Linked DNA regions of Caenorhabditis elegans. The protein of the gene in region 1 purifies or fractionates together with the protein of each later gene. This does not show direct contact. Each region holds a gene or a part of one and is shown in the gene's direction. Other genes may lie near its edges.

What was found.
Region 2: the proteins of kdp-1 (region 1) and nduf-9 fractionate together in Caenorhabditis elegans (co-fractionation; one large-scale study listed by BioGRID). This does not show direct contact.
Region 3: the proteins of kdp-1 (region 1) and nuo-5 fractionate together in Caenorhabditis elegans (co-fractionation; one large-scale study listed by BioGRID). This does not show direct contact.
Region 4: the proteins of kdp-1 (region 1) and nduf-5 fractionate together in Caenorhabditis elegans (co-fractionation; one large-scale study listed by BioGRID). This does not show direct contact.

The regions. Positions count from the first base shown.
Region 1 is NC_003282.8:13,298,196-13,303,840, forward strand, and holds kdp-1 (KASH (Klarsicht/ANC-1/Syne Homology) Domain Protein), read left to right. Parts: upstream 1-1,992; coding exon 1,993-2,430; downstream 2,431-5,645. Other genes in the region: micu-1 (Calcium uptake protein 1 homolog, mitochondrial), read left to right, coding at 1-51, 102-245, 297-357, 531-686, 732-975, 1,025-1,818; csn-6 (COP9 signalosome complex subunit 6), read left to right, coding at 2,635-2,896, 2,949-3,349, 4,362-4,703, 4,742-4,871, 5,175-5,335; Y67H2A.7 (Peptidase M3A/M3B catalytic domain-containing protein), read left to right, coding at 5,557-5,645.
Region 2 is NC_003281.10:3,241,531-3,252,012, reverse strand, and holds nduf-9 (NADH dehydrogenase [ubiquinone] 1 alpha subcomplex subunit 9, mitochondrial), read left to right. Parts: upstream 1-3,437; 5' UTR 3,438-3,439; coding exon 3,440-3,600; intron 3,601-3,729; coding exon 3,730-3,940; intron 3,941-4,229; coding exon 4,230-4,285; intron 4,286-4,850; coding exon 4,851-5,193; intron 5,194-8,154; coding exon 8,155-8,309; intron 8,310-8,914; coding exon 8,915-9,032; intron 9,033-9,897; coding exon 9,898-10,149; 3' UTR 10,150-10,296; downstream 10,297-10,482. Other genes in the region: Y53G8AL.3 (CUB domain-containing protein), read left to right, coding at 1-55, 379-552; Y53G8AL.4 (Apple domain-containing protein), read left to right, coding at 1,475-1,496, 2,169-2,242, 2,461-2,646.
Region 3 is NC_003283.11:2,695,580-2,702,952, forward strand, and holds the start of nuo-5 (NADH-ubiquinone oxidoreductase 75 kDa subunit, mitochondrial), read left to right. Parts: upstream 1-3,392; 5' UTR 3,393-3,398; coding exon 3,399-3,491; intron 3,492-4,695; coding exon 4,696-5,448; intron 5,449-7,327; coding exon 7,328-7,373. Other genes in the region: Y45G12B.2 (Zinc finger protein-like 1 homolog), read left to right, coding at 436-724, 1,571-1,874, 2,879-3,001.
Region 4 is NC_003279.8:2,999,897-3,006,261, reverse strand, and holds nduf-5 (NADH dehydrogenase [ubiquinone] iron-sulfur protein 5), read left to right. Parts: upstream 1-3,414; 5' UTR 3,415-3,424; coding exon 3,425-3,658; intron 3,659-4,666; coding exon 4,667-4,798; 3' UTR 4,799-4,902; downstream 4,903-6,365. Other genes in the region: Dual specificity mitogen-activated protein kinase kinase mek-2, read left to right, coding at 59-233; Y54E10BL.3 (CcoQ/FixQ family Cbb3-type cytochrome c oxidase assembly chaperone), read right to left, coding at 661-728, 1,916-1,999, 2,050-2,077; dnj-28 (J domain-containing protein), read right to left, coding at 4,996-5,447.

The DNA.
Region 1 (5,645 bases):
GGCTCTCGGAAATATTCGGCAGAAAAAGGATGTTTTTCACTACACAGACAGGTAATATAGTCAATATTCTCCCGGTTTACTCAATAAAATGTATTTTTCAGAGCAAGCGGCGTTGGATATTCCCATTACTCCAGTTCAGTTTATCAGCACCGCCCGTATATTTGGCCACCGCTCAGAAAGCTGTACCATTGGAATTATGCCTTGGTGATCGCTGGAATGGTTATCCTGATGAGTGATTTCGAATGGTTCGTGCTCTCCTGCGTCGATTTGTTTTTCGTATTTCACCGCTTTTTCAGGCTCAAGGATCAGATCAAGAGCGCATCGTTGCCGTTCCGTCCAGAAGCATCACAAAAAGAAGTGAGCTGCTCCTGCTAGTTCACCTAATACCAGCTTGTGTGTTGTGATTTCAAGATAAAAATAGTCAGTTTCAGTTATTCTGTTAATTTTTCTCACAAGCTTCTTAGGTTTACAACCTCTCACGTGTTTATTTTTCTATCACTCCTGCAATTTTTCTAATTTGCGGTCTTCAGGAAGTCACTGAAAGCAATGGTGAAGTAGAGGAAGTCAAAGAAAAGCCAAAGAAGAAGAAACTGGGATTCAGAGAGCGAAGAATCATAGAATATGAAGACAGATTGAGGCTTTATTCCACTCCGGATAAGATTTTCAGATACTTTGCGACCCTGAAAGTGAGTCACTTTGACAAAAATCTATTTATTAGTTGTATTTTTCAGATCATCGATCCTAACGAAGACAGTGGACGCTTTGAAGTTTTCATGACTCCTGAGGATTTTCTCCGTTCTTTCACTCCGGGTGTGATGCAGCCGAGACGTTGGGGGCTTGATAGTTTTAAAAACTATAATCCTGAGAAGCATAAACGTCACAAGTTCTCCGACCCTGACAGTATTTTTTACAAGCTCGGCGAGAACGGTCTCATAAACTTCAGTGATTATCTGTTTCTCATGACTCTGCTCTCAAGTGAGTTTTAATACTCGTTTTTCTTTCAAAATATCATTGACTTTTCCAGCCTCTCACGCGGATTTCGCTCTCGCATTCAAAATCTTCGATGTAGATGGGAACGGTGCGCTGGATAAAGAAGAATTCACAAAAGTTCAACAGCTTATTATGTCCCAAACAACTGTAGGACAGCGTCATCGAGATCATATAACGCCAAACCAGTCGTTCCGTGTCGAGACAAACTCCGCTCTCGAAACATATTTCTTTGGAAAAGACGGAAAGGGGAGCTTGTCGTCTGAAAAATTTATCGAGTTTCAAGAGCGTCTACAACACGACATTTTAAAGATGGAATTTGAACGGAGAGATGCACTGGATAACCCGGATGGACTTATCAACGAAGATAGTTTTGCTCAACTTCTCCTTCTTCATGCTCAAATTAATGAGAAGAAACAGAAGCATATGTTGAAGCGGGTTAAACGAAGATTTAAAGGAGAAAATTTGAAAGGAATCAGTTTTGGAGAGACGAAAGCATTTTTCGAGTTTTTGTATCACATTGACGATGTAGATATTGCTCTACACTTTCATAAAATGGCTGGAATGTCGATAGATGCGAAGCTACTTCAACGAGTTGCGGTCAAAGTGACTGGAATACCTCTATCGGATCACGTTGTGGATGTGGTGATTACTTTGTTCGATGACAATTTGGATGGAAAATTATCACATGAAGAAATGGTTGCTGTGATGAGGAGAAGAATGCGTAGAGGTTTAGAGCGACCAAGAGATACTGGACTTTTCCGTTTGTTTGATGCAGTTCTGGAATGTGGAAAACGAGCTTATCACGCCAGTCCTCTTCCATTTTATTAGTGGTGCCCATGGCCACTGTAAATACTTGTTTATAAATAAAGCTTTTCATTCTTTTTAACAAATTATATTTGTTATGTTCATAAAAAGTGTTCGTTTCACTTTTCTTATCTTAATTTCATTTTTTTATTCTTTATTTCTTTCTCCACATTTTAAAACACATTTTTCAGGAAAATCATGTCGTTGGCTTTGAGAAAGACTTTGGGCGTCGCTCGCTTTTCCATGAGAACCGCCAGCTTCCAGGCTGTTCCAACCAACGCCGGAAAGACCCCACCAACCCTCGAACAATTCGATCCACTGAACCCAGGAGAGTGGCAACTCGGAGCCGGAGGAAAGATCCTTCCACGTCTGCCAGAGGGAACCAAATGCGGAAACCTTGTCATGGGAAAGTACGGACTCTACGATCCAATCCTCAAGAAAAGAGTTGATACCTACGCCAATGCTCTTCTCGAAGGAAAGAAGTCCGAAGAGGCTGGACCATTCGATGTCGCTGTCAGCAAGATCGCCAAGGTCCTTTCCTACATCTGCTTTGTCATCGCCATCTACAACCTCATCTCGTTGGTCAACGGAACTCCACTTCCACCACTTAGCCACGTCAAGGCTCCAGGATCCTAAATAATTTCCACTCGATTGCATTATCTCTTTTTTGTAGGAAGTTTTATGTTCTGTAAAACTTATGTCAATGTGAATCAATAAAATTCCCGTTTAGCTTGTTTTTCCACCAGTGAATCCAGGAATATTTTCAAAATTTCCAAATCATTATCTGGCTTGAAACAAAAAAACCGATTTCGAAACCAAATTTCGAAATAATTTTCAGAAATGGCATTGAACGCACCAAGCGGGAGCTGTAGCTCGAAGGTGCTTTTGCATCCTTTGGTTATTATGCAAATGTCCGAACACTACTCCAGAACAAAGGTCCAACAGGGTCCTACTGTGAAAAAAGTGTTCGGAGCAATTCTCGGACGGCAGAATGGACGACAAGTCGAGGCGATCAATTCATTTGTTCTGAAAATGGAGACAGAAGAAATGGCTGAGCCGGTTACTTTTAGCACGGAGCATCTCCTTCAAAGAGCAGATCAATGTCAGTTTTACTCTGTTCTTGCTCATTTTAGTTTTTTTTCCCCAAATTTCAGATCTGGAAGTGTTTCCCGAGCTCCAAGTTATCGGTCTTTATTGTGCTGGGGAGGATGATAATCTGACTCCCGAAGAGAAACCTCTTCTCTCAAAACTCACCAATGCGGTTCGCAATTCAGAGAAAGCCGGACAAATCGACGCGACACTTTTCCTTAAACTCAACTCTATCACTGCTGGAACCACTCGTAAACTTCCACTTTTCGCGTTTGAAGCAGACGTGACTGATCAGGAGAAGCATAAGCCAATTGAATGGATTTTAGTGTCGGAAGAAAGTGAACGTGTCGGTGTTAATCATATCGCTAAGTTATCAACGAAACATGGAAAAGACGGGAAATCAGTTGGAAAGAAACACGCGGAGGCTCAAGATGCAGCAATGAGCATGCTTCAGAATCGGGTTGATGTGCGTTCGAGAAATTGGAGGCCAGAAAAAGACAAAATTTCATAATGAGACTTCTGAAAATGCTGTTTAGCGGTTCAAAAATTTTAAAATAATACCTAAAATTCGCTAAAATGCATATTTCGATCTTATCTCGCATTAATTCGTTGATTTAAGACACATTTTCAGTCGATTGACACCTAATTTTGGAAAAAATGTTTGAAAAAAGTACCTCCATTTACTAGTAATTGCGAGCTAAACGACTAAAATATGTAACAACAGCTGCTGCGACATGAAAAGTTTGCGAAATTTCAGAATTTAGACAGTTTTGGCTCTTATTTTTTTTTGAAATTTTGACATACTTAAAAAGTTTATTAATATTATTTTGAGAAATCTCGTTATGAAAATCAATACAGCAGCAAACTAAAGTGGAATAGTCGAAATAGTTTTACTGCTTTATTAGACTCACAATTGACTGAAAACACCGAATTTCATAATGAAACTTCTTGAAAACGTCTCAAAAAAAAGTTATGACGGCTCAAAAAATAGCCTAAATGTAGTTAAAATTTGAAATTTGACCGACTTGTCAAGCGGCTGGAAACTAATTTTTTGAAATCTCCATCTAATTTTGAGTATAAAATTTAAATATCTTGCGTTTTCAACTTCATTTATGTATTTTAAAGCCGATGGACGGCGATATTTTTAATTTTTTTTTTACGAAATCTCGCCGTCCATCGACTTTAAAGTACCCAAATCGAGTTAAAAACGCAAGATAATGACATTGTATGCTCAAAATTTGACGGTGCTTTCAAAAAAAAAAATTGTTTCCAGCCGCTGCAACATTGCAAGACGGTCAAATTTCAAATTTTAACTAATTTTAGGCCATTTTTTGAGCCGTCATAACTTTTTATTGAGAAATTTTCAAGAAGTTTCATTATGAAATTCGGTGTTTTCAGACAATTTTGAGTCTAATAAAGCAATAAAACAATTTCGACTACTCCGCCTTTAATTTTTTTTACAAAAAAATAATTTTCAGCTAATCGTTGCCTATCTCGAAAAAGTGCAAGACGGAACACTTCAACCGAATTTTGAAATTTTGAAGGAAGCTAACTTGCTTGCTCAAAAGCTCAAAACCATTGATCGATATGCTGCTGAGTTCACTGATAGTTTCGAAAAGGAAGAGAAAACAATGACCGTATTCTCTCTGATGCCAAGATTGACAACTCTTCTCGGAAATATGCAAAATGTGTGGAACAAGTTGTCAGCTCAAAGAGCCGATCTTCTCGCCGACGATGGATTCCATGGAAAATCGACAAGCCGTTGGGCTCATCCGGTTCGATTCAAATCACAACATCTCGGTCGTCCGCAGCAGGCAGATGTAAGTTAATGCATTTAGAATATTTCTAAATCCTTTAGGAATGTTTGTTCCAGGATGACGATTATTTTGATGATGAAGATTTGGAGAACGATATGAGTGGACCACGGAGAAAAATTCATGCTGCTGATTCTCCAGCTGGATCGAGAAGACGACGTGTTCCGCCAAGAGGTAGATTTGGAAATTCTGAATTATTATGAAGACGCAGAAAAATTCACCTTCTTGGGGAAATTTTTTGAAAGCGGATTTTTCAGAAGTTTTGACATCAGATACGAGGTTTAACATTTTTTATCAACTATTAAAATTTAATTAAAAAGCACAAAAAAAAAAGACAAAAAATACCTGAAGGAAAATTCTAAATTTACGATTTAGCCGATTCAATTGGTCGTGGAACGATTTTTTTTTCAAAAATAAGCATTTTTGTGCGTCCTCATTTCAAAATCTTCTGGAAAACATTAAAAATGTTGATTTCAGCAATGAACTTCCTCGGTCGGAATTCTGGTATGCAAGCCGCCACGGACGAAATGGAATTGTCAGGTCAAGAGGAAAATATGGGAAGCAACTATATTCCAGACGTTCCAAGACCATCTGCAACAGCACACAACGAGTCGGACGAGTCGAGTCAAGCTTCATAAATATCCTTTTTTTGTTAAAAATTCACTGTAAAAATGCCACTTTTTCTTATTTATTTCATTGTTTCTCAAATTTTTACACCACTTTACGTGTTTTTCATCCCCATTTATCTGAAATATAATGTCTGATCTCCGATTCTCGATATTAAAAAAAGGTTAAACGTTCCTTATATCAATAGAATCCAGTTTAGTTTAGACTATAGTGATTTTTTCTACAGCACTAAATGCTTCGAAGTGTGATATTACGGCATAGTCGAACGATAAGCCGGAATAGCTGGGTGGCTAGAGCATTTCGAAGCGAGAAGGTCGACAA
Region 2 (10,482 bases), on another chromosome or scaffold:
CTTGAAGTTGAGCCCGAGTTTGAATGTTTTCGTGGTGCAGTTTGATGGGACCTCGGTAAGAAAATAGCTGATAACTTTTTTGTGAGGAGAGATATCAGAAATTTGTAAACTAAAGAAATATAGCCCTTAAAATTTTCTACATTTTGTTAATTGAAAACTTTTTAATAGCTATTTTTTCCAAGGAGTTATGCGCTTTTAAACTAGACGCGCTCAGAAGGAGTAGCTCAAATTCTTATCATTAAAGGCGCATAACTCCGCGGAAATAATAGCTATCAAAAAGTTGTCAAATATAAAAATGTGTAAAATTTTAAGCACTACAAATTGTTAGTTGAACATTTTTGAAAATCAAGATTTTCCGCGGAGTTATGCTTATTCCAGAGAGCCGTCCTCCTAGACGCTGCCCTACAAAACTCGTGCTCCACCGACACATCTGACTGCCTGGATTTCAAGTATGAAGATGTGAACTCAATTTTCTTCACTATTTGCTGGGATTCCAAAAACTATTCGAATGGGCTTTATATTGAAACTTTGTTCGATCAAATATTATTGTAAAAAATCGCAAAAATCCATAATTGTGTTAATTATCAAATGTAAAATTCCATGCTCAACTTTTTTACAATTTAAAGTTTTTTGATATCTCCAACCGTTAATGAGATACGGGCGTTTGAACTTGGCGAAGAGAGAGAGAAAGAGAAGGGGGAGAGACGCAGACGACGAGAGCGCGCGCGCCGCCTGCGTCTCCCCTCCCCACACTCTCTCGTCACCGCTAACTTAAAACGCATGTATCGGGAGATAACTAGGTTCGAAGTCTGAATTTTGAGATTTTTGAGTTTTGTTTTAGGAAATTAGAATTTTATTGTAACAGGAAAGGATGTATTAACTGATTTTTCTGTGAGAAAAAAGTATAAAAAAGTTTGGAAAAAATTTTTAAAAATGTCCAAAAAAATTTTTTTTAGATAACTTATACCGTGAAATTTTTTCAAATTTCCACTATTTCCAATTACTCTTTTCAAAAATACCCTCTTAATCAATTTTTTCGCTCCTTCACGCCTTCAAGCCCCTATGACGTCACCAATCCCCAGTGAAAGGGGCCCATGCCTACCCCTGCTAAAAACTACAATATACCCCTAAAACCATCCCGTGAGTAATCAAAAATCGCGTCTAGCGCAAGCTTCCGGCTGAAAAATGCAAAAATCCCAAAAAAAACCGCCCAAAATCGTGCAAAATCTCAGAAAACTGGGCGGAAGAGGACACAAATTCGCCTCTTTGGAAGAGGAAATTACGTCGTATTGTATCGAATGACACCTCTCCCGCGCAACACGATATATATAGGGGACCTTTAAATGGAATAAGACCTATTTGCTAAATTTGGAAATTTGTTGGAAAAAAAAATTTTCTAAACAAAAAAATTTTTGTTTCGGAAATTTTTTTTCCAAAAGATTTTTCCGAAATTTTCTACTATTTTTCATCTAAAATGAACGGATTAAACCACTTATGTAAGTTATTGTTGGATTCAGGACCCACGTGGCCTAGAAACCCCATATTCGGGCTCAGTGGCCTAGAAAATCCAGAAAAGTTAGGCCACGCATGGTTTTTAGCAGAAAACCGTTTTTTTTTTCAATTATGTTTCGTAGAAAACATGCATAATTTCATGGATTCCCCAAATTTTTCTTAATTTTTCAGACATGGCTGAGAAAAAAAACCGGAAAAGTTAGGCCATGGGAAATTTTTCACAAAAAGTGAAATTTTTCCGTGAAGAATCTATTTTTTTCAGTTTTAGTATGAAAAATTTGAAAAATTTCGTTGCTTTTCAATAAAAAACTAATTTTCAGACGTGGCCTAGAAAAATAACCGGAAAAGTTAGGCCACGCAGCATTTTTCTAGAAAATTGCAAATTTTTCGAGAAACGCGTTATGTCTTCACTTTTAATTTTGAAAAACGTGCTTAATTTGCTTTTTAATCAAATTTTTTCAAATTTTAAGACGTGGCCAAGAAAAACCAGCTGAAAAAATAGGCCACGAAATTTTTCTTCGAAAAGCTCCATTTTTCCGCGATTTCGCCGCTGGAAATTAACTTTCGGCCAACGTTTCTGTGAAAATTATTTTTTAAAACTCTAAATATCTGCCAAAAAACCACTGTGGCCTAAACAATTCCATTGATTTTTCCAGTATTCTTCTTACTTATCGTCACGTTTGCCGGATTTTCATTTTCCCGCCCCGACCACCATTCGAGGAACTGCAAAGTAAGTGCGCTCTAGCGAACAACGAAGCTGCAAACGCGCTCCATTGAGAATTTTGCTTAAATGGTGGAAATCTCGGGGGTTTCTGGAGATATATCGATTTTTATTCGATATTTCGCTGAAAAAAATTGAAAAATTTGAGAAAAATCATTCAAAACCCTAGTTTTTCGCCGATTTTTTCCGCATTTTTTCAAGAATTCGGAATATTTTTTGATTTCCAGGCTTACCGACGACCGGCTCTAAACGAAGTGCTCACGAGAATATGCCTACTTTGCCATGAAATGTTTTCAGTCGACCAGCCGAATCTAGCCGCCGAGTGCAGCTCGAATTGCTTCAGGAATCCGGCGTTTAACAAGTGTCTCAACTTTTTTAGGCCGAAATTTTCTCCTTTTCTGGGTTCCACGTGATAAATAAATTGGTTTTAATCGTTAAATTTGAATTTTAATTGACTAAAATTGGTTAAATCGAGAAAAAAAAAGAAAAGAACCACAGTGCGGAGTCGAACCCCGGTGTGTTGCGTGAAAGGCAAAAGAGTTACCAGCAAAGCCACAAAGCAATGTGAACGTAATTTTGAGAGGCGTATACATTGTAGCCATAAATGCTTATTATCTCGATAGCGTATAATATTAATAATTGAGAATTTTGATGTCATTTTCAGTTTAATCTACCAGTATTCTTCTGTAATTTCGCACATTTTGAAGAAATCCCTTGAAAACTTCGCATTTCTATTTAATTCAAAGATTTTAATAATTTTTCTTGAATGTAAAACAAGAAAAGTAATATTTCATTAATTTTTCAACAATTTAGATTGAAAACTCTCTTTAAAACCGCCTTTCTCACCAATTTTTGCTAATTTCAAAGCTTCTCATTCCTCCTTGGAGTACGGTCATCAATCCCCGCCCTTCCAAGTGCGCATTCGAGTCCGCAAACGTCAAACCCGACGCCATATTGCGTACAGGCCAAATTATTTATTTCGGCACCGCGTACTTCATTTTCAGCCATTTTTAGCGGTTTTTCCAGATTTTTTCGCTATTTTCGGTGCTTTTTTGATAAAAAATCGATTTTTTCGACCGGAAAAGCTATTTTTAGCTGGAAAAAATCCCGAAAAAACGCAGAAAACCCATTTAATTCTTAAAAAGTCTTTAAAAATCTTTAAAAATCTTTAAACAATTGCAAATCTCGATTTTCCTAATTTCAGCCATGCTATCAGTGTTGGGTAGATCCGGCTTGGGCGCCCGGCAGGCGGTTTCGGTCGTTGGAAGTCAGAATTTCAGCAGCGCGGTCACCTCCGCCGAAAATGCTCATCCGGAGCCACGTGTCAGCTCTCAGAGTGCTCAATTCAGAAAGGGAGCCGGTGGAAGGTACAGGAAAAGCCTAAGAATGATTTGAAACTGGAAAATGTGGAAAAAATCTAGGAAAAATTGAAAAAACATTGAAAAAAAATCAATTTTTTCCCAAAAAAAATCGTTAAAAATTCCAAATTTTTGCAGAGCCTCCTTCTCCGGCAATGTGGTGACCGTATTCGGTGCGTCAGGCTTCTTGGGACTTCCAGTTGTCAATAAATTCGCGAAAAATGGCTCACAAATCATTATTCCGTATCGCCAGGATCCGTATTACATGAGAGAGCACAAAGTGCTCGGCGAGCTCGGACAAGTCCTCTATTTTCCATTTGAGCTGATGGATGAGGAGAGCATTCGAAAGGTATTAAAATTCGTGGAAATTGAGAGAAAAATCGAGTTTTCTAGGTGAAAATCGAGAAAAATTGGATTTTTCTCTAGAAAATCCAGAAAAAATAGAGTTTTCTCAGTGAAAATCGAGAAAAAATGGGTTTTTCTTTAGAAAATTCAGAAAAAATAGAGTTTTCTCAGTGAAAATCGAGAAAAATTAGGTTTTTTCTCTAGAAAATTCCGAAAAAAAAAGAGTTTTCTAGGTGAAAATCGAGAAAAATTGGATTTTTCTCTAGAAAATCCAGAAAAAATCAATTTTTCAGGCTGTAAAGTACTCGAACGTCGTCATCAACTTGATCGGAACTCGTGTGCCGACTGGGTGAGGAAATTGCAGATTTTTGAGCGGAAAAATTCACAAAATATGCCGGAAATTCAAAAAATTCAAATTTCGCGCCGTTTTTGACCAAATAAATCACTCTTTTTCGCTGAAAATTCGAAAAAATGCCTGAAAAACCTTCAAAATGTGGAATTTAACCCTTTTTTCCTACTGAAAATTCAAAAAATAAATTTTTTTACACCAAATTATCATTCAAAATTCAAAAAAAAAGCTCTTTTTTTCCAGTTTTTTCATTGAAAAACTCAAAATTCCTCACTTTTTCCAACTGAAAATCAATTAAAAATTGAAAAATCCCCTTAAATTTTGAATTTGGCTCCACTTTTTGGCTAAAAATTTGAAAAATGTCCGAAAAATCTTCAAAATTTTGAGTTTCGCGCCGTTTTTTTCACTGAAAATTCAAAAAATATTTTTAAAAAATTCAAAAAAAACTAAATTGCTCAATTTTTCTCCAAAATTTTCGAGAAAACTGCCATTTTCTATTGAAAAATTCAAATTTCCCCACTTTTTCCTTCTAAAAATCCCAATTTTAAGCCATTTTTCCTTGCAGAAAGTACAATTACTATGACGTCAACGACACGGGAGCCCGCCGTTTGGCTCGAATTTGCAAAGAAATGGGTGTGGAGAAATTTGTGCATTTGTCGGCTCTCGGAGCAACTACACAACCACAAAAGGGACATTTTGTCGCAAAATCGCAATTTCTTCATTCAAAAGGACTCGGAGAAGTTGCTGTACGTGAAGAATTCCCAGAAGCAACAATTATTCGCCCATCTGTGATCTACGGTGAATTGGATGGATTTATTCAATATTATGTGTCAAGATGGCGAAAAACTCCATTGGATTATGTGTATTTGTACAAGAAGGGAGAAGAAACGTATAAAATGCCGATTTGGGTACGGAATTGGCCGATAATTCATGAAAAATGACCTAAAATACGTGAAAATTGGCCGAAAATGACTGAAAATGGCTGAAATTTGGCACAAAATTAAATATTTTAACGAAAAACTCACAAAAACCGAGATTTTTTGAAAATTTACGATTTTCACATTAAAAATTGTCAAAAAAATTTTATTTTCCGTTAATATTGATTAAAATTATAGAAAAATCCATTTTCAACCGAATTTTGAACGAAATTAATCAAAATTTCATAAAATACATTTTAAAAAAAGCTCAAAATACGTGAAATTCGCCAAAAATGCTGAACAATTACTTAAAATTCAAAAAAATTGAAGTAATTTGACCAAAAAACTGAATTTTAGTCAATAAAAATTCAAAAATGGCTGAAAATTGTTTGAATATTGAAAATTGGGCGAAAATTCATGAAAAATGACCTAAAATACGTGAAAATCGGCCAAAAATGACGAAAAAAAATTTTTTTTTAAAGTAGAAAATTTCATGAAAATCGAGAAAAATGGTGTAATTTGACCTAATAACTGAATTTTAAAAATAAAAAGTCGAAAATCCGTGAAAATCGGTCTAAATCTACGAAATTTCATGAAAATTCGCTTGAAATTGAGAAAAATGACTCAAAATTCATTACAATAAATCCAAATGAACTGAAAAATGTCAAAATTCATAAAAATTGGCCTAATACAAATAAAATGAGTCCAAATATTTATGAAAAGTCTCGAAATTTCATATAAAGTTGCTCAAAATACGTGAAATTCGCTAAAAATTGCTGGAATTTATTTAATTTGCTTAAAAATTAGAAAAAAATTTCAAAATTCAAGGAAATTGGCATAAGTCCGTCTAAAAATTGAATTTTAAATTTAAAAAGTCAAAAATTCCAACAAATCGGCCAAAAATTACTGAAAATTGTTCAAAATATGACCAATTTTTGTTTGAAAATCGGAAAAATTACTCAAAATTCGAGAAACGCTGTAATTTGCGAAATTTTATGAAAAAAAAGCCTTAAAACCATTTAAATTGGCCAAAAATGACTGAAAATGGCTGAAATTTGGCACAAAATTGAAAATTTTCGGAATTTCACCCAAAATTTCATAAAATTTGATAAAACTAGTCGAAAATTGGTAGAATTTCGGCAAAAATCGTATTTTCACACAGAAAATTGTCAAAAAATTGCTAAAAATGACAAATTTTGACTGAAAAACTTGAATTTTTGCTTAAATTTCATCAAAATGTAAAAATCGGTAAAATTCCAGAAAAATTCACCGAAATTTGCAAATTTTGGCTTAAAATTGTCCATTTTTGCCGAAAAAAAATTGATGGTAGGCGGCGGTAGGCATAAAGTAGGCACAATTTTTTTTTTGCGAAAAAATGCAAAAAATGTCCAAATTTCGCATATTTTGACTCAAAACCTCGGCCAAAAATGGTGTAATTTGACCTAATAACTGAATTTTAAAAATAAAAAGTCGAAAATCCGTGAAAATCGGTCTAAATCTACGAAATTTCATGAAAATTCGCTTGAAATTGAAAAAAATGACTCAAAATTCATTACAATAAATCCAAATGAACTGAAAAATGTCAAAATTCATAAAAATTGGCTTTTAATACAATTAAAATGAGTCCAAATATTTATGAAAAGTCTCGAAATTTCATATAAAGTTGCTCAAAATATGTGAAATTCGCTAAAAATTGATGGAATTTATTTAATTTGCTTAAAAATTAGAGAAAAAAAATTTCAAAATTCAAGGAAATGAGGCTTAAAGTTACCTATAAACGCTGGAATTTGCGAAATTTTATGAAAAAAAGCTTTAAAACCATTTAAATTGTCCAAAAATGACTGAAAATGGCTGAAATTTGGCACAAAACTGAAAATTTTCGGAATTTCACCCAAAATTTGATAAAACTAGTCGAAAATTGGTAGAATTTTGGCAAAAATCGTTTTCTCCTCAAAAATGTAACAAAATTTTCGATTTTCACACAGAAAATTGTCAAAAAATTGCTAAAAATGACAAATTTTGACTGAAAATCTCGAATTTTTGCTTAAATTCCATCAAAAATGATGATTTTTTCAGAAAAATTCACCGAAATTTGCAAATTTTGGCTTAAAATTGTCCATTTCTGCCGAAAAAAAATTGATGGTAGGCATAAGTAGGCACCATTTTATTGCGAAAAATGACCAAATTTTGGATATTTTGACTCAAAACCTTGAATTTTTGCCAAAATTCAATTCATTTTTCGCACAATTTCAGTAAAAATAACTCAAAATTTACCATTTTTTGCCGAATTTTCAACGAAATTGATCAAAATTTCGAGAAAATCGGCGAAAAATCACTAAAAAAATCTCGATTTTCTTGCAGGTTGCTTTTTTAGTTTTTAGTTTTAGTTTAAAAAAGAAAAATCGGCCAAAAATGAGTGAAAATTGTTCAAAATAGGCCCAATTTGTTTGAAAATTCAAAAAATTACTCGAAATACATACAATTCGGCCTAAAACTGCCTATAAACGGTGGAATTTGCGAAAATAAGCGAAATAAAAAAAAAAGCTTTAAAAACGTTTAAATTGGCCAAAAATGACAAAAAATGGCTGAAATTTGGTCCAAAATTGAAAATTTTGAAGAAAATTGACGATTTTTGACGAAAAACATACAAAAAATCGTTTAAAAATGTTATCAATTCCAATTTTCGGTAATTTCCCATATTCACTTGAAAAAAATTGTTGAAACATTGCTAAAAATGGCAAGTATATATATTGAATTTTTTGGTTAAATTCCATTAAAAAACGGTATTTTCGCGCGAAATTTCATTAAAAGGAGTGAAAATCCGTAAAATTTCAAAAAAAATTCACAGAAATTTGCAAATTTTGGCTCAAAATTTACCATTTTTTGCCGAGTTTTCAACGAAATTGATCAAAATTTCGAGAAAATTGGCGAAAAATTCCGATTTTCTTGCAGGTTGGAGACGTTGCCGCCGGAATTCAAAGTGCTGTAAATGATCCAACAGCAAAAGGACATACTTATGAATTTGTTGGACCACACTGCTATCAATTGTCTGAATTGATTGATTTCATGTACAAAAAAGCGCATTGTTTGTCTGATTTTGGATTCAGGTACCCGGTTTTTCGATTTTCCCGCCGAAAATTGGCCTAAAATGAAGGAAAATTGCTAATTTTTGGGCAAAAAAATCATGAAAATTGATAATTTTTAACGAGAAATTCATGAAAATTGGACTTAAAAATCGTGAAAACTGGGTCTCGCCACGAAAACTTTATTTTTTTCAAATTTAAAGGCACATGGGTTGTGCATCAATCAGGAAATTTTGAAAATTCGAATTCTCCTCAAAATTCTAGGCTTGTAGCTTTAATCGGGTCTCGCAACGAAAATTTCACGAGTACAGTAACCCGCGAGATATTATTCCGTGGCGAGACCTTAAAAAATCAAAAAAATCAATATTTTCACTGAAAATTGATGATTTTTAACGTGAACTTTATGAAAATTGGCTAAAAAATATAAATTTAGACGTAAAAATCGTGAAAACTACATTTTTTTTTGGGTCTCGCCACGAAAAAGTTGAAAAAAAAAAATTTCTTGAGTACAGTAACCCGCGAGGTATTGTTTCGTGGCGGCGGGACCCAGGCGTGAAATTTCGAGAAAAATCGCGAATTTTTCAATTATTTTCGTGGCGGGACCCGAGAAAAAGCTCAAATTTTTGCAGATACAAGCGTCACGGAATGCCGGATCCATATTTCATGGCTCTCACAATGGCCACCGAACTCTATGGTAAAGTGTTCAAGTGTAAAGTTCCACTCAACAGAGAATGGATGGAGTTTGTGGTAGGTTTTAGGGCTTAAAATGAGCAAAAACGCCTCAAATTTTAGATTTTTTTAATTAAAAATCGGTTTTCCGCCAAAAATCGGGCAATTTTTACGGAAAAATCCATTTTTTAAGTGAAAAACACTTAAAAAAAACTGATTTTTGAGTCAAAAAATTGGAAATTTCGGAAAGCCTACCTACGCCTGCCTTGTGCCTACCGTTGAATTGTTAAATCAGGTAGGCGTAGGCACAATTTTGAGGAATTTTTTTTGTAGAAGTGGCGGAAACAACCCGATTTTCATCAAAAAAATTCGAAAAAAATCGAAAATTTTTTCAAAATTATCGATTTTTAGTCGAAAAATGGATTTTATTGATTTTTTTTTTTGAAAAAAAAATTTAGCGAATAAAATCGATAATTTACGGAAATTATCGATTTTTTGTTGATTTTCAAAAAATCGATAAATTCCGATTTTCCGACAAAAATTCAAAATTTTCTGAAAATTATCGATTTTTTTTGCTATTTTTGTAATTTTCAGATAAAAATCGGAATTTTTTTAAAAGAAAAATCGAATATAAAATCTTAAAAAAATAAAAAAAATTTAATATTTTTAAAAATTACCGATTTTTTGTCGGAAAAGTGATTTTATCGATTTTTTGTTGAAAAATTTCCGCGGAATTTTTTTTGAAACAAAGATTTCTGAAAATTATTGATTTTTTTTTCTATTTTTCGCATTTTTCAATTGAAAATCGGAATTGTTGAAAAAAAATCGCATAGAAAAATTTCCACCGATAATTTTTGAAAATTATCGATTTTTGATTAAAAAATTCGCGAAAAAATCGATAATTTACGGAAATTATTGATTTTTTCTAATTTTGCATTTTCAGGAAGTACAATCGGACATTTTGACGGGCGAAAGAACTCTCGCCGACCTCGGAGTCCGCCGATTGACTGAATTCGAATTGGCTGGTGGACAACAAGCATTTTATCGATCATTTAATCGATATTTCGAAGAACAATATGGAGAACTTCCGGCTCCATCACTTCCACTTCGTTCACCACCACTTACCAAAAAGAACACTGGCCGAGGAGCAACTGGAATCAAGTCGGAAACGAGCAAAAATGTCGCTTTTAATTAAGATTTTTTTTAATCGATTGTTTTTTCGATTTCTGTGTTGTCTTTGGTAGTTTAAATAGAGCGATTTTAATTTTTTTTTGGTTCTAAATTTTTTTTCTAGAAAAAACTGAATTTTGTATTTATACGCGTAAATGAATCGAGAATTTTGATGGGAAAAATTGGTAGATTTGCAAAAATTCTGAAAAAAAATTATAAGAATCCTGAGAAATTATGAAAAATAAGAAAAAAGAGCACAAAAAATCAGTAAAATCAAATTTCCTTTAAAAAATCGATAATTTTCAAAAATTATCGATTTTTGTCCGAAAATGAACGAAAAATCGATAATTTTTGGTAA
Region 3 (7,373 bases), on another chromosome or scaffold:
AATAATTTTATATTAGAAATCAAACAATTAAATTTACAAACATGGATTTTTGTGAAACAGGCTTTTCCCTACAAAATGACCTTATTTACGACTCTGAAATCGAAAAACTGACGGTACTGATACATTTTAAAGAAGCCGTGGTGACTCCTCTCTGTAAAACCTTCAGTTTTTGGTGAAATTTCATAATTTTACACATTTTCAATTCGGATGGTGCTTCTCAACAATAATATCAATTAAAAAATTAAAAATAATTTCCATAGAAGCCAAAAATAGCCAAAAACTGCTGGAACGAATTCCCCGCGAATTCCGGAGATCGTGAGGTGCCGCGCGAGCGCGCTCTAATAATTATGAACACTCCAGAAGGCCGCGGTGGTACGCAATAAATATTCAAAAATATCGATTTTTAGTGCAAAAAAAAATCCAATTTTCTTACAGATCTCCTCCACTGGAAATGCTTCGACGAGTGGGCGGCAAATTTCCCGGCCACGACCGCCCCGGCCGGCTATCGATGCCCGTGCTGCAGTCAGGAAGTCTTCCCACCGATCAATGAAGTCTCTCCACTCATCGAGAAGCTCCGCGAGCAACTGAAACAGTCCAACTGGGCAAGAGCAGCGCTCGGGCTCCCGACTCTTCCGGAACTCAATCGGCCAGTGCCTTCTCCGGCGCCGCCACAGCTGAAAAATGCTCCAGTTATGCATAAAGAGGTCCCGGTGCACAATAATAGGTGAATATTAGCTAAAATGAACGAATTTTGCGAAAAAACGGTTCAAAAGACCTTTTTTCGAATTTTTAACTAAAAAATTGCGAAAAATTTCGAAAAAATGAGCCTTTTTTCGATTTTTTAACCTAAAATTCGAAGTTTTTCTTCGTTTTTCCGTAGTATTATTGTTTAAACTACATTTTAAAAAAAATGCATTTTAGGCCAATTTTCGACGTTTTCGAGCAAATTTTGAGTTTTTTTGAGCGAATTTTGAGCGGCTTTCGAGTCCTTTTAAGCAAATGCTCAGTTTTTCGAATAATTTTTGAGTTTTTGAGCCAATTTTTAGCTTTTTAATCAAGTTTTTAGCATTTTTGAGCAAATTTTGAGTTTGTTAGTGCATGTTTAGAGCATTTTAGAGGAAGTTTCGAGTTTTTTGAGCAAATTTCGAGCTTTTTAGAGCAAATCTTAAACATTTTTGAGCAAATTTCGAGCATTTTCGAACTAATTTCGAAAAATTTGAAGCAAATTTTGAGCAGTTATGCACAAAGAGGCGCCAGTTCACAATAATAGGTGAATATGACCGAATTTCGCGAAAAAACCGCTCAAAAATTCGAAAAAATGGGTCTTTTTTCGAAATTTTAACTTAAAAATCGATTTTCTCACGTTTTTTCTCATTTTTTATCGTTTAAACTACATAAAAATGCATTTTAGGCCAATTTACGACGTAAAAAGCCGTTTTCTATGTGAAAAAGTGTTAGAAAATCCAATTTTAAAGTTAAAATTTGAAAAAAAAACGAAAAAAAGAAACCTAAGTCTGAAGAAAGGCCCATTTTTTTTTGCAATTTCCCAAAATTTCTAATTTTTTTCCAGATCCTCCACCCCCGCAACCCATCTGGAAATGGAAGACACCGCTTCCTACTCGGTCTCCAACAATGACGTCACTTTTGCGCGAAAAAAGAACTACGGAGCCGAATCTTCAAGCGATACTCGTCCACTTTTACAGCTCCGTGACGCCGATAACGAGGAGAATAAATATAAACGGCGCCCGACGATGGATTGGATGCGCGGGCTCTGGAGAGCAAAACATGGCGGCTCCGGGGTCCCACAGGAACGGGCTTCCGCGAAAAAAATCGCGCTTTTCGTGATTTTCCTGGCCGTTTTGGCTTTGATTACGGTTGGATTTTAAAAAGCGACTTTTATAGACTCAAAAACGCCAAAAAAATATTTTTTCCCTGAAAAAATGGCCTAATTTTAGCTAAAATACATCAATTTCGCCGACTTTTCCGTGTTGCATCTGTCGGAAATTCGCTTTTATTTGATTTTATCACAGTTTATTTTCAATTTTTATCGTTTTTCTCACGTTTTTTTCGTTATTTAGTGTACATTTGAAGCATATAAACCGAAAACGACGTGAGGGCGGAGCCTAAACCGCAATCCTGCGGCGCGATGTTTCGCAACTCCACCGCGCGACTATTTTTTACAAGTTTTTAAGTTTTTTTTCGCATTTTTCGAATAAAATTTCCAGTATATCGTGATTTTTTCGAGATATTTCGATAAAATCTCATGAAAAAAAAATTTCGACTGACAAAAAAACAGCGCGGCGGAGTTGCGAAATCGCGCGCCGCAGAATTGCGGTCCAGACCCCGCCCACAATTTTTTGCGCTCAACGTCTGCCGTGTGGCTTAAAATGTACATTAAATAGCGAAAAAATGTGTAATAAACAATAAAAATATAAAATAAACGATGAAATTTCATGAAAATAAAATATAAGTCAATTTCCGACCGCTGCGACACGGAAAAGTCGGCGAAATTGGTGTATTTTAGCTAAAATTGAGCGATTTTGAGTATTTTTAAGCGAATTTTGAGCTTTTTGAGCAAATTTTGAGTGTTTTTAATCAAATTTCGCAAATTTTGAGTCATTTTGATCAAATTTTAAGGCTTTTTGAGCAAATTTATTGTCTTTTTGAGCAATTTTTTGAGTATTTTAGAGCAATTTTTGAGTATTTTTGAAGGAAATGTTAAGGCTTTTTGATCAAAGTTTGACTTTTTTTGAGTGAATTTTGAGTATTTTTGAGCGAATTTTATGGCTTTTTAAGCAAATTTTGAGTGTTTATGAGTCTTATCAAGCAAATTTAGATTCTAACTTCATTTAATTCCAAATAAATTGTATTTTTCCAGATTATAATGGTGATGAAGCGTGCCGGATACAGCGGCGAGCACTCATCGGACCCCCTTTTCGATCCAATGGCCAATCCGAATATTCGCGTCGCCGTCGAAGATTCTCGTCTTCCACACGTCTAAAAAATTTTTTTTTTTGAAAAAAATGTGCATATCCTTCCCTTTCTGTGTAATATTCAATGTCTACTCATTCCCCAACGAAAAAAAAAGTTTTTCGAAAAATTTTTTATTTTTACTTTCGCCTGCTAATGATGCTAACAAACGGGATTTTTTCTGATTTTTTTCGATTTTTTTCGCTAAAAACTAGCTAAAACTAGCTAAAACTTGGTTGTAATTAATTATTAATTATTTATTCTTTTTTTTTGCCCTATTTCTTGTATATTCGGTGGTTTAAATGGTATTTATTGATTTTTTTTCCTCTAAAAATTGAAATTCGGTTAATTTTCTACCGAGATTTATATTTATTTTCTCTCAATTTTTCGGAAAAAATTTCAGGAAGTAATTGCAATTTCAGAGCACCATGCATCGCGTCGGTGGACAAATTGTCCGCGGAGTGTCGAAGGCTCAACAGAAGAGATCGCTTTCGGTGGCGGCTCCGGCTCCACCGAAAAAGGTGAAAAAACTGGAATTTTCGGCGGAAAAATTGAAGAAAAATGGATTTGGCAAAAAAATAACGAATTAACTAGCGAGAAATTCAAAAAAAAAGCTTAATTTCATCTACAATCTCCAATTTTCCATCATTTTCCATTTAAAATTAGTGCCAGAATATAGAAAATCGCTCGATTTATCGGAAAATCACTTTGATTTTAGCTGAAATGTTGGAGAAAGCGCTCAAAAAGACAGTTTTGAGCTTTTTCTCAACTGTTTCATCCGAAATTAATGTGATTTTCTCGATGAATCGAGTGATTTTCTATATTTTGGCACTAATTATTAATTGAAAATTTTACAAAATACATGGTGCAATGATGTTTTACTAAAATCAAAAATGTTTTCGTTTTTCAATTAAAAAAATCGAAAAATTCCGTTTTTCGGTTCGAAAAATCAAAAATTTTTAGATTTTTCCTTTAAAAAACGGAAAATTTAGTTTTTTTAATTTCCGAAAAAAGAACAAATCGAAAAAGTACGTTATTTAATTTAAACAAAAATCTAAATTTCTTCGTTTTTCAATTGAAAAAAAAATCGTTATTTCCTGTAAAAAAATCAAAAATTTAGTTTTTCGGTTCAAAAATCGGAATTTTTTCGATTTTTCCTGTAAACATCGAATTTTTTTTTAAATGCTCGATTTTCTCTGACAATTTTTTTTACAAAAAAATAAAAATTATTCGATTTTTCCTGTAAAAAATCTAATTTTTTTTTTCAATTAAAATGATCGAAACATTTCGTTTTTAAATTTATCAACAAAAAAAACATAAAATGAAAAAAGCACGTTTTTCAATTAAAAAAAAATCGAAAAATTACGTTTTTCAATTTTAAAAAATCTAATTTTCCTGTAAAAAATCTAAAAATTTAGCTTTCAGTTCAAAAAATCAGAATTTTTTCGATGATTTTTCCTGTAAAAAATCGAAAATTCGTTTTTTTTTCAATTTTTAAAAATATATCGTAAATATATATTTTTCGATTTTCCGGAACCTAAAAACCCAACATTTTTTTCAATTAAAAAAAAAAAAAAACGAAACAAATTTCTTCCATTTTCCGAAAACAAAAAACTTAAAAAAAAAATTTTTTTTCGATTTTCAAATAAAAAAAATCGAAATTTTTCGATTTTCCCTGTAAAAATCAACAAAAAAACCACTAAAAATCACCTCATTTTCTTCCAGGTCGAAGTCTTCATCGACGACAAAAAAGTGCTCGTCGACCCGGGAATGACGATTCTCCAAGCGTGCGCGCTCGTCGGCGTCGACATCCCACGCTTCTGCTATCACGACCGTCTCTCAATTGCCGGAAACTGCCGAATGTGTCTGGTAGAGGTGGAGAAGTCGGTGAAGCCTGTCGCATCATGTGCGATGCCTGTCATGAACGGAATGAAAGTCAAAACCAACTCGGATTTCGTGAAAAAAGCTCGCGAAGGGGTGATGGAGTTCATGCTCAACAACCATCCACTCGACTGCCCGATTTGTGATCAAGGTGGCGAATGTGATCTACAGGATCAGGCGATGAATTTCGGATCCGATCGTGGGCGGCTTCAGTCGAGATTCGATGGAAAACGGGCTCTCGAGGATAAGAATATCGGGCCGTTGGTGAAAACTGTGATGACTCGATGTATTCAGTGTACTCGATGTGTCCGATTCGCTAATGAAGTGGCCGCTTTTCCGGATTTCGGCACCACCGGACGAGGACAAGATCTTCAAATTGGCACCTACGTCGAGAAATTTTTTGCTTCAGAGCTCTCTGGGAATATTATCGATATTTGTCCGGTCGGAGCTCTTACCAGCAAGCAGTACGCGTTTACGGCCCGGCCCTGGGAGACTAGAAAGACTGAAAGTGTTGATGTGATGGATGCGACCGGATCGAATATTGTGCTTTCGCATCGGACTGGCGAGCTTCTGCGGGTTATTCCGAAAATCAACGATGTACGGAGTTTTGAAACGAATTTTTTGGAAGACATAGCTTTGAAAATTTTGAAGAAGAATCGATATTTTTCGAATGTCGAAAAAAAAATTGTATTTTTGGCCATTTTTCACTTTTTTTGGAGAAAAAATCGATATTTTTCAATTTTCTCTGAAAAAAATCGAAAATTTACAGATTTTTTGAATTTTGATAATTAAAAAGTTGAAAATTGTGTAGTCTAGTTTGGAACAGGGGTGTGCGGCAAATGGAAAAAATTGCCGAGCTCGGCAAATCGGCAATTGCTGGTTTTTCAAAATTTGCCGAGCTCGGCAAATTCGGCAAATCTCTTTTTTCAATATTTGCCGAGCACGGCAAATTCGGCAAATTTGCAGAGCTCGGCAAATTCGGCAAATTCGGCAAATTTGCCGTGCTTAACAAACTCGGAAAAATTTGATATTTTTTATGTTTTGTGGAGCACCAAAACTACTGAATTCTTAACACACATCTGGTTTCTGAATAAGTTCCGCGTAGTATGTCTGTTTAAGCATCAAAATAGCTCAATTTTGTGTCATTTTACTAAATTTTTGGCTAAAAAATCAATAGTTTTATTCAAAATTGTACTGTCAAATTTTTCACGTGTGCGGCAAATTTCGAAATTTGCCGAGCTCGGCAAATTCGGAAAATCTACTTTTTTGAAAATTGCCGAGCTCGGCAAATCGGCAATTGCTGGTTTTTTTAAATTTGCCGAATTCGGCAAGTCGGCAATTTTCGGCAAATCGGCAAATTTGCCGCACACCCCTGGTTTGGAATAAAAAATTGTTCGGCAACATTTTACTTTTTATGAATTTTTAATGCTTTTTGAGCTGTTATCGGTAAAAATCGATTTTTTTTTCAGAGAAAATCAAAAAAAAAATCTAATTTTCTGAAAATAACTTAAAAAGCTTATTTTCGATAAATAAATTCATTTAAAGTAGATATTTGCCGGAAAATTTTTTTCCGAACTATTATACAACTTTCAATTTTTTTTTCCGATTTTTTTCCAGAGAAAATCGAAAAATATCGAATTTCAAAAGAAAAAACATAATTTTCTTCAAAAAAGTGGAAAATTACCAAATTTTCCCAATGCGAAACAGAGCTCAGAAAATTTTCAAACGACTAGACTTTAAAAATGAGCAAAAAACTGATTTTTTATCGATTTTTTCAGAGAAAAAATGTTACTTTTTGTATTTCCGGGGAAAAAAACTATTTTTTTTCAAATTTTCAAATTTAGGTATATAACAATTCGAAAACTAAGAATTTTCGATATTAAAATAAAAAACTTACAATATTCTTCGAAAAAAAGATGAAAAATGGCCACATTTTCAGCTATTTTACGAAAATTAAATTTTTTCCTTGAAATACAGAAAATTTTTTGATTTTTACGAATCCCTGTTTTTTAAGGTGTTGTTTCAAAATTTACCGGAAAATTTCGATTCCGTAGTGCTCCGACAAAAAAAACGAAAAAAAACCGAAAAAATGTCAGAAAAATTCGAAAATGCGAATTTTTTTTTCCGTTTTTTTGCAAAAACAAAAATTGAATCTGGAAAATCGGAAAATTTCACTTTTTCGAGTTGCTACAAATCGAAAAAAAATTTCTTAAAATAAATGCGATTTTTCCGTTAAAAAAAACCAAGAAGCATATAATTTTGGCCCCATTTTTCCTATAATTTTTTGAAGAAAATTATATGTTTTTGCTCATTTTCATAATTTTCGCGAGCTCGATAATTTTCGGATTACCAAAAAATTTTTGATTGCGTAATGATTTCTACTAAAAAAAAAAAACGAAAAATAAATCCGAAAAAACCAAATTTTGCGCCGCAATTTTCGGCCTTTTTTCGACCCCAATTCCCCAATTTTTTCCAGGACATTAACGAAGAATGGATCGGAGATCAGTCGCGTTTCGCAGTGG
Region 4 (6,365 bases), on another chromosome or scaffold:
TTCGGTATCAGGAACATAATTATGATCTATTAACTTTTTTAAAATTTTCAATTTCCAGTGACGAAGTGATTGGATTTGTGTCGAAATGCCTTCGAAAACTTCCAAGTGAACGAGCAACCCTAAAATCTCTCACCGCAGACGTCTTCTTCACACAATATGCAGATCACGATGATCAGGGAGAATTCGCGGTTTTTGTGAAGGGAACGATTAATCTACCAAAGTTGAATCCATAATTAATTTTGGATTTTTGTATATTTCGATGTCTCTTTGTCTCTCACTGTCTAGGATGCTCCAGCTCCAGGGGGTGATTCTACGAAATGAGCCAATATTTTTATTGATATTTTGTGATGGAAAATATTTAGAAAAATAATTCTTATATCAGAAAATAGCTACTATTTTAGAGTTGGAAAAATTGAAAAATGCCCAAAAATTTGTTAAAAAAAGTGATTTTTAGGCAGATTTGGCGAAAAACATAGCCGATTTTTTAAAAGGAAAATCGAAAAATTGATCATAAAATTTAATTTTGTAAATTAAATTTTGTGTATGTTGATGAGAAACAAAAAGAAAAATGGCCAAAATTTTAAGATATATTTGATTTTTTTTCTATTTTCCACAGTTTTTTGAGCATTTCTTCAATTTCTCAATTGCCATCTCGAGAGATCAATCCGATTTCTTTGCATTCGGCTCCTTCGGTGTCATTTTTTGAGTCGCTTTCTTCAGCGCCGTATCTGAAAGTATTCCTCTTTTTTTTCTTTAGTTTAGACTATTTTTCATTTACTTTGTAGATTTTTCCCCATTTTTCCCTCCACATTTCTGTCCCGCTTCTGATTAAGATTAAAGTATTTTGATTTGATTTTTGAATTTTTAAGTTTTTTTTCGTTGGTTTTTATAGTCGGTTGAAGCTCCCGAATTTGCATTTTTCTTTTATTTTTTATTATAACTAAGGGTTTCGTTGAGAAACTCGGTTTTTTTTCAGAGATGATCGAAAAAAAAAATTGTTTTTTGAGGAAAAAAAAAATTTTTTCATTAAAAAAGGCAAAAAATTATCGAAATTTTGAAAATGCCTCGAAAAAAAAACGAATTTTTTTTCAAAAATAAAAAATAAAATTTCGGATTTTCTCGGAGCAAAGCTAATATTGATGAGAAAAAGCATAGGAAACCCTGCAATTTTTTTCAAAAAACAAAAAAAAACGAAAAATTACCAACATTTTGAGAGATTTCTCGAAAAATAGATTTGTTTTTTTGGAAATATCGAAAAAAAAATTAGTTTTTATATTTTCCCGAAAATAATTGGAAAATTATGTTGTTTATATTCATGAGAAAAATCTAACATAATTTTATTTTAAAAAAAAATGACCAAAACTTTGACATATTTCTCGAAAAATCAATTTCCGGAAATCGAAAATTTTTTAACTAACTAAAAATTCTCATAGAAAAAAAAACATCATCGATTTTTACCTGAAAATCTAAAAAAAAAAGATATATATCGAGTATTTTTAATGTTAAATACAGAAGGAATTGGCAAAAGATGGCCAAAAATTATTTTTCCGGCAAATCGGCAAATTGCCGGAATCGACAATTTCCGGCAAATTGTGGCCTTGCACATTTTTTTGGAACTTTTGAAGAATTTCAATTTAAATAGGCAAAGAAATTTTTAAAAAAGGCATCCAATGAATGTTCTTACATCTATTTTAAAAAATTAAAAATTCTATGAAAATATCTAACGAAAAATGGGAAAAAATTTTAAAAAGGCACAATTTGGAGTGTTTCCGTTTTAAAAAAATCGCTCTACAAATTTCCGTCATATCGATATCCGGCAAATAGGCAATTTGCCGAAAATGAAAAATTCCGGCAATTTCCGCACACGCCTGGGTCAATCGATATTTTTCTCACAAAATTCAAAAAGCTGACTCACCCGGCTCATCAGGAGTTTTCGAATTAATATAAATAACTGTGAGAAAGACGAGAAGCGCGACGACAGGAATAAAAACGTGAACAGCTGAAAATTCATGAAAATCGGTTGAAATTAATTTAATATATTTAACTCACATTCAACGAGATTATAGACGGCGTCCATGTTTGACAGAGCCCCAAGTTGCCTTCTTGCTCCGAGAGAGAAAGAGCACACACTACTGCGCTTGATATCGATTTTTGTGTGCTGCGAAAAGCGTTGAAGAAAACGGAAAAGGAGACCTCCGTTACGAAAAAGATGTGAAAAAGACGAGAGAGGGGGGGGGGGGAGAAGCTCGGATAATAAAATGAATAAACTGGGAGAAAGAGGAAAAGACTTTTGTGGATTTTCAACAATTTTTTAGTAGCAAAGATTCGGAAAATTAGCCGATTTTCCTGAAGAAAAGTTAGTATGAATAAAAAAAATAAATTGACGAAATTTTTTTGAACTTGGAATCCACTTTCAACAATTTTTGAATACAAAGATTTGGAAAATTTGGCGATTTTTTGCGGAAAAATTAGTAGATGGATGGAATTTTGCTGAAATTTTGCTGGGATCCACCGAAAATAGGAAAAATAGCTTAAATTGCGAATAGGTTTTGCAAAAAAAAAATTTTTGTTGAATTTTTGAAAAAAAAGCAATTTTCTAGAAGAATATTTTATTGGTTTTATCTAGTTTTTTGGGAATTTTTTTTTGAAATTTTTCCAAAATCTGGGATTTTTCACCATTTTTCCTTTTTTTTGCGTGATAGTTTGAGATTATTCATGATTTTTCTTCTCTCGAGGCATTTTTTCGAAATTTATTCAACAAAAATTACATTTCATGGCTTTTTTGATCTTGTAGCGTGCCTTTTTATCCAAACAGTATTTAATTTTAGGATTTTTTGGGTAATTCTGAAATTATTACGGGAACACAATTCTAAAAATGCGTATTGCACAACACATTTGACGCGCAAAATATCTCGTAGCGAAAACTACAGTAATTCTTTAAATAACTACTGTAGCGGTTGTGTCGATTTACGGGATCTCGATTTTTGAAATTAATTAATTTAACGATTGAATATTAAAATTAATTTTCTTTAAAAAAAATCGATATCCCGTAAATCGACGCTACCGTATTCATTTAAAGAATTACTGTAGTTTTCGCTACGAGATATTTTGCGGGTCACTCAGAATTTTGCGTTTCCGTAATATTAGTGTGTTTCTTTTTTCGATTTTCCGATACTTAGACAAATTATTTTTTTTTTTCGAAACATGTCTATAAATTTTAGCTATTTTTCTTCTTTTTTTTTGAGAAAAATGTTTTTTTTCCTATTTATGCATTTCCTCATCGACATAAAAAAATTAACACAGATTTTAAAATTTTAGTTTTTTTTTCTAAAACATTTTCTGATTATCTCTGAAAAAAAAACCGAAAAATCGATATTTTGCTTCTCAACTCATAATAAAATTCCAAAATTCCAGAACATCCGCAATGGCAACTGGTAACCGTAATCCGGAGAACTTCACATCATTGTCACCAATCGTAAAGGCTCCAATAACCGATACTCTTTCGGTTCCACTCTCCCAACAGGGACGTATCTGCGGATTCTTTGAATCTCAATTCTACCGTTGTATGGAGGCTTACGGAGCAAAGATGGGACGCAAGTATTGTGATCTCGAGCATCGTGACTTCCAGGAGTGTGTCACTGGGGATAAACAGAAGAAGGTTCGATATCCGGAACAGAACTGTCGCGAAAAAAAATTGGACTAAAAAACAAAAAATTAGTGAAAACCAAATAAATTTGATCCCTTGAATTTATTCTTTTAACGGAGGACTAACGGTTCGGACGATTTTGAACGTATAGACCCAAAATGTTCTCAAATGAACGAATTTCGTAATGAAACTTTTCAAAAAATTTCCAAAAATTTTTTATGGCGGTTCAAACTTTTGAAAAAATTACACTGATTTTGGCTAAAATCTCGAATTTTGCCCATTTTTCCGTGTCACATCTGTTCGAAGTTGGCTTTTTTTGGAATTATCGTCCTTTATTACATATATTGGTAATTAATCTCATTTAATTTCGTGGATCAAATAACATTTAAAGCCGATAGGTAACCAATTTCGATGATTTTTGGTTACCTATCGGCTTTAAATGTACTTTAATCGACGAAATTAAATGAGATAAACTACCAATATATGTAATAAAGGACGATAATTCCAAAAAAGCCAACTACGGACAGATGTGACACGGAAAAATGGGAAAAATTCGTGATTTTAGCTAAAATCAGTGTTATTTTTCAAAATTTTGAACCGCCATAAAAATTTTTTAAAAATTTTTGAGCAGTTTCATTACGAAATTCGTTCATTTTCCGGAAATTTCTAAAATTCTAATTTAAAAAAATGTTCCTTCATTTTTCTGATTTTTGAGTTTATTTTCTCGTCTTCTTTCATGCAATTTTTCCGATTTTTCTCCTATTTCTAAAGAAAAGAAAAATCGAAAACTCTGAAAAATTTGGTTTTTTAACTTTTGGATTTTTTTTGTTGATAAAATCGAATATTTTTGGTTTTCGATTTTCCTAAAAATTTAAATGTGTGTTCTCCAGTTTTTTTGCCCTGAAAGAGAAAAAACTACCATAATCTTTTTTCTGCGCATCGAGACCCATCTGAATAAACCCGTGCGCCTTTAAAAAACATCACATGAAATTCCAAAATAATCGAAAAACAATTTTCCAGAGAGCTGACGCCATCCGTGAACAACGCTGCAAGCTGTTCCTCGACGGAAAAATCGCGAAGCCATACGTCGACAATCATCCAGAACCGGGACAATTCAAGACTGATCACTTCCAGTGGAATCGTATCAACTAGATACTTGAAGTGCCTTTAGTTTCGAGAGAAATCGCCTTATTTTTTGTAGTTTTCATTTCTTTTTTCTTTTTAATCTTTTCTAAGTACATAAAAAGATTTATAATAAAAAAAAAAAGAAGCAAGTTAAGAGATCAATAATAGTCCGGGTAACACATCCAATGACACAATAATATCTATATCTATAATGAAATATGAAATTAAAAATGGAAGAAAAAGTCGCCGCCACCACGGCCGCCACCACCACCACCGCCGAATGGATTAAATCCGTGGAAATTATGAAATCCGTGTGATCCTCCACCTCCACCTCCACCCCTCCCTGCTTCCGAATCCAGTGGATCTTGTCCATTATCGAAAGCTCGCCGCTTCTCCTCATTGCTCAAAACTTCCTTCGCCGCGGCAATATCGATAAACTTCTTCTCAGCTTTCTTCTTCTCCTTCTCATCCTGAAAGTTGTCCGGATGCCATTTTTGAGCCATTTTTCGATAGGCTTTTGTGATTTCTCGTTTATTGGCGTTCCGGCGGACTCCGAGAATTTTGTAGTAATCTCGTTTTCCGACGAGTTCCTTTGCACGCTTTGCTTGATCTTTTCCAGTTCGGACGGCGTCGTTTGATGAATCCCATTCTTCGGCTTTTTCGTAGTCAGCGATTGCTGGAAATTAGATTTTGATGATCGATAAATCCGTGAAAAGCAGCGCCGCACAGAAAAAGAGGCGGGGCTTATTTTTGCAATCCTGCGGCACGGTTTTTCCTCCTTTTTATTGATTTTTTTCAATGAGAAATTCTGAATTTCGTCAAAATTTTCTGTTAAAACGAAGAAATAGCGTGCGGAGGCTTGCGAAAACCTGCGCCGCACAGAAAAATAGGCGGAGCTTATTTTTGCAACCGTGTCGCACCGGTTTTTCCTCCTTTTTATTGATTTTTTTCAATGAGAAATTCTGAATTTCGTCAAAATTTTCTGTTAAAACGAAGAAATAGCGTGCGGAGGCTTGCGAAAACCTGCGCCGCACAGAAAAAGAGGCGGAGCTTATTTTTGCAACCGTGTCGCACCGGTTTTTCCTCCTTTTTATTGATTTTTTTCAATGGAAAATTCTGAATTTCGTCAAAATTTTCTGTTAAAACGAGGAAATAACGCGCGGAGGCTTGCGAAAACCTGCGCCGCACAGAAAAAGAGGCGGGGCTTATTTTTGCAATCCTGCGGCACGGTTTTTCCTCCTTTTTATTGATTTTTTTCAATGAAAAATTCTGAATTTCGTCAAAATTTTCTGTTAAAACGAGGAAATAACGCGCGGAGGCTTGCGAAAACCTGCGCCGCACAGAAAAAGGGGCGGGGCTTATTTTTGCAACCCCGCGGCACGGTTTTTCCTCCTTTTATTGATTTTCCGAATGAAAAATCCGATTTTCATTGAATTTCGTTGAAAATTTCTGTTGAAAATGAGGAAAAAACGTGCGGCGGCTTGCGAAAACCTGCCCCGCACAGAAGGTTGCAAAATTACGCCCCGCCCATTTTTCTGCGCGGCGCAGATTTTTTTCTCATGTTCAGCAGAAAAATTCGAACTAATTAAAATCG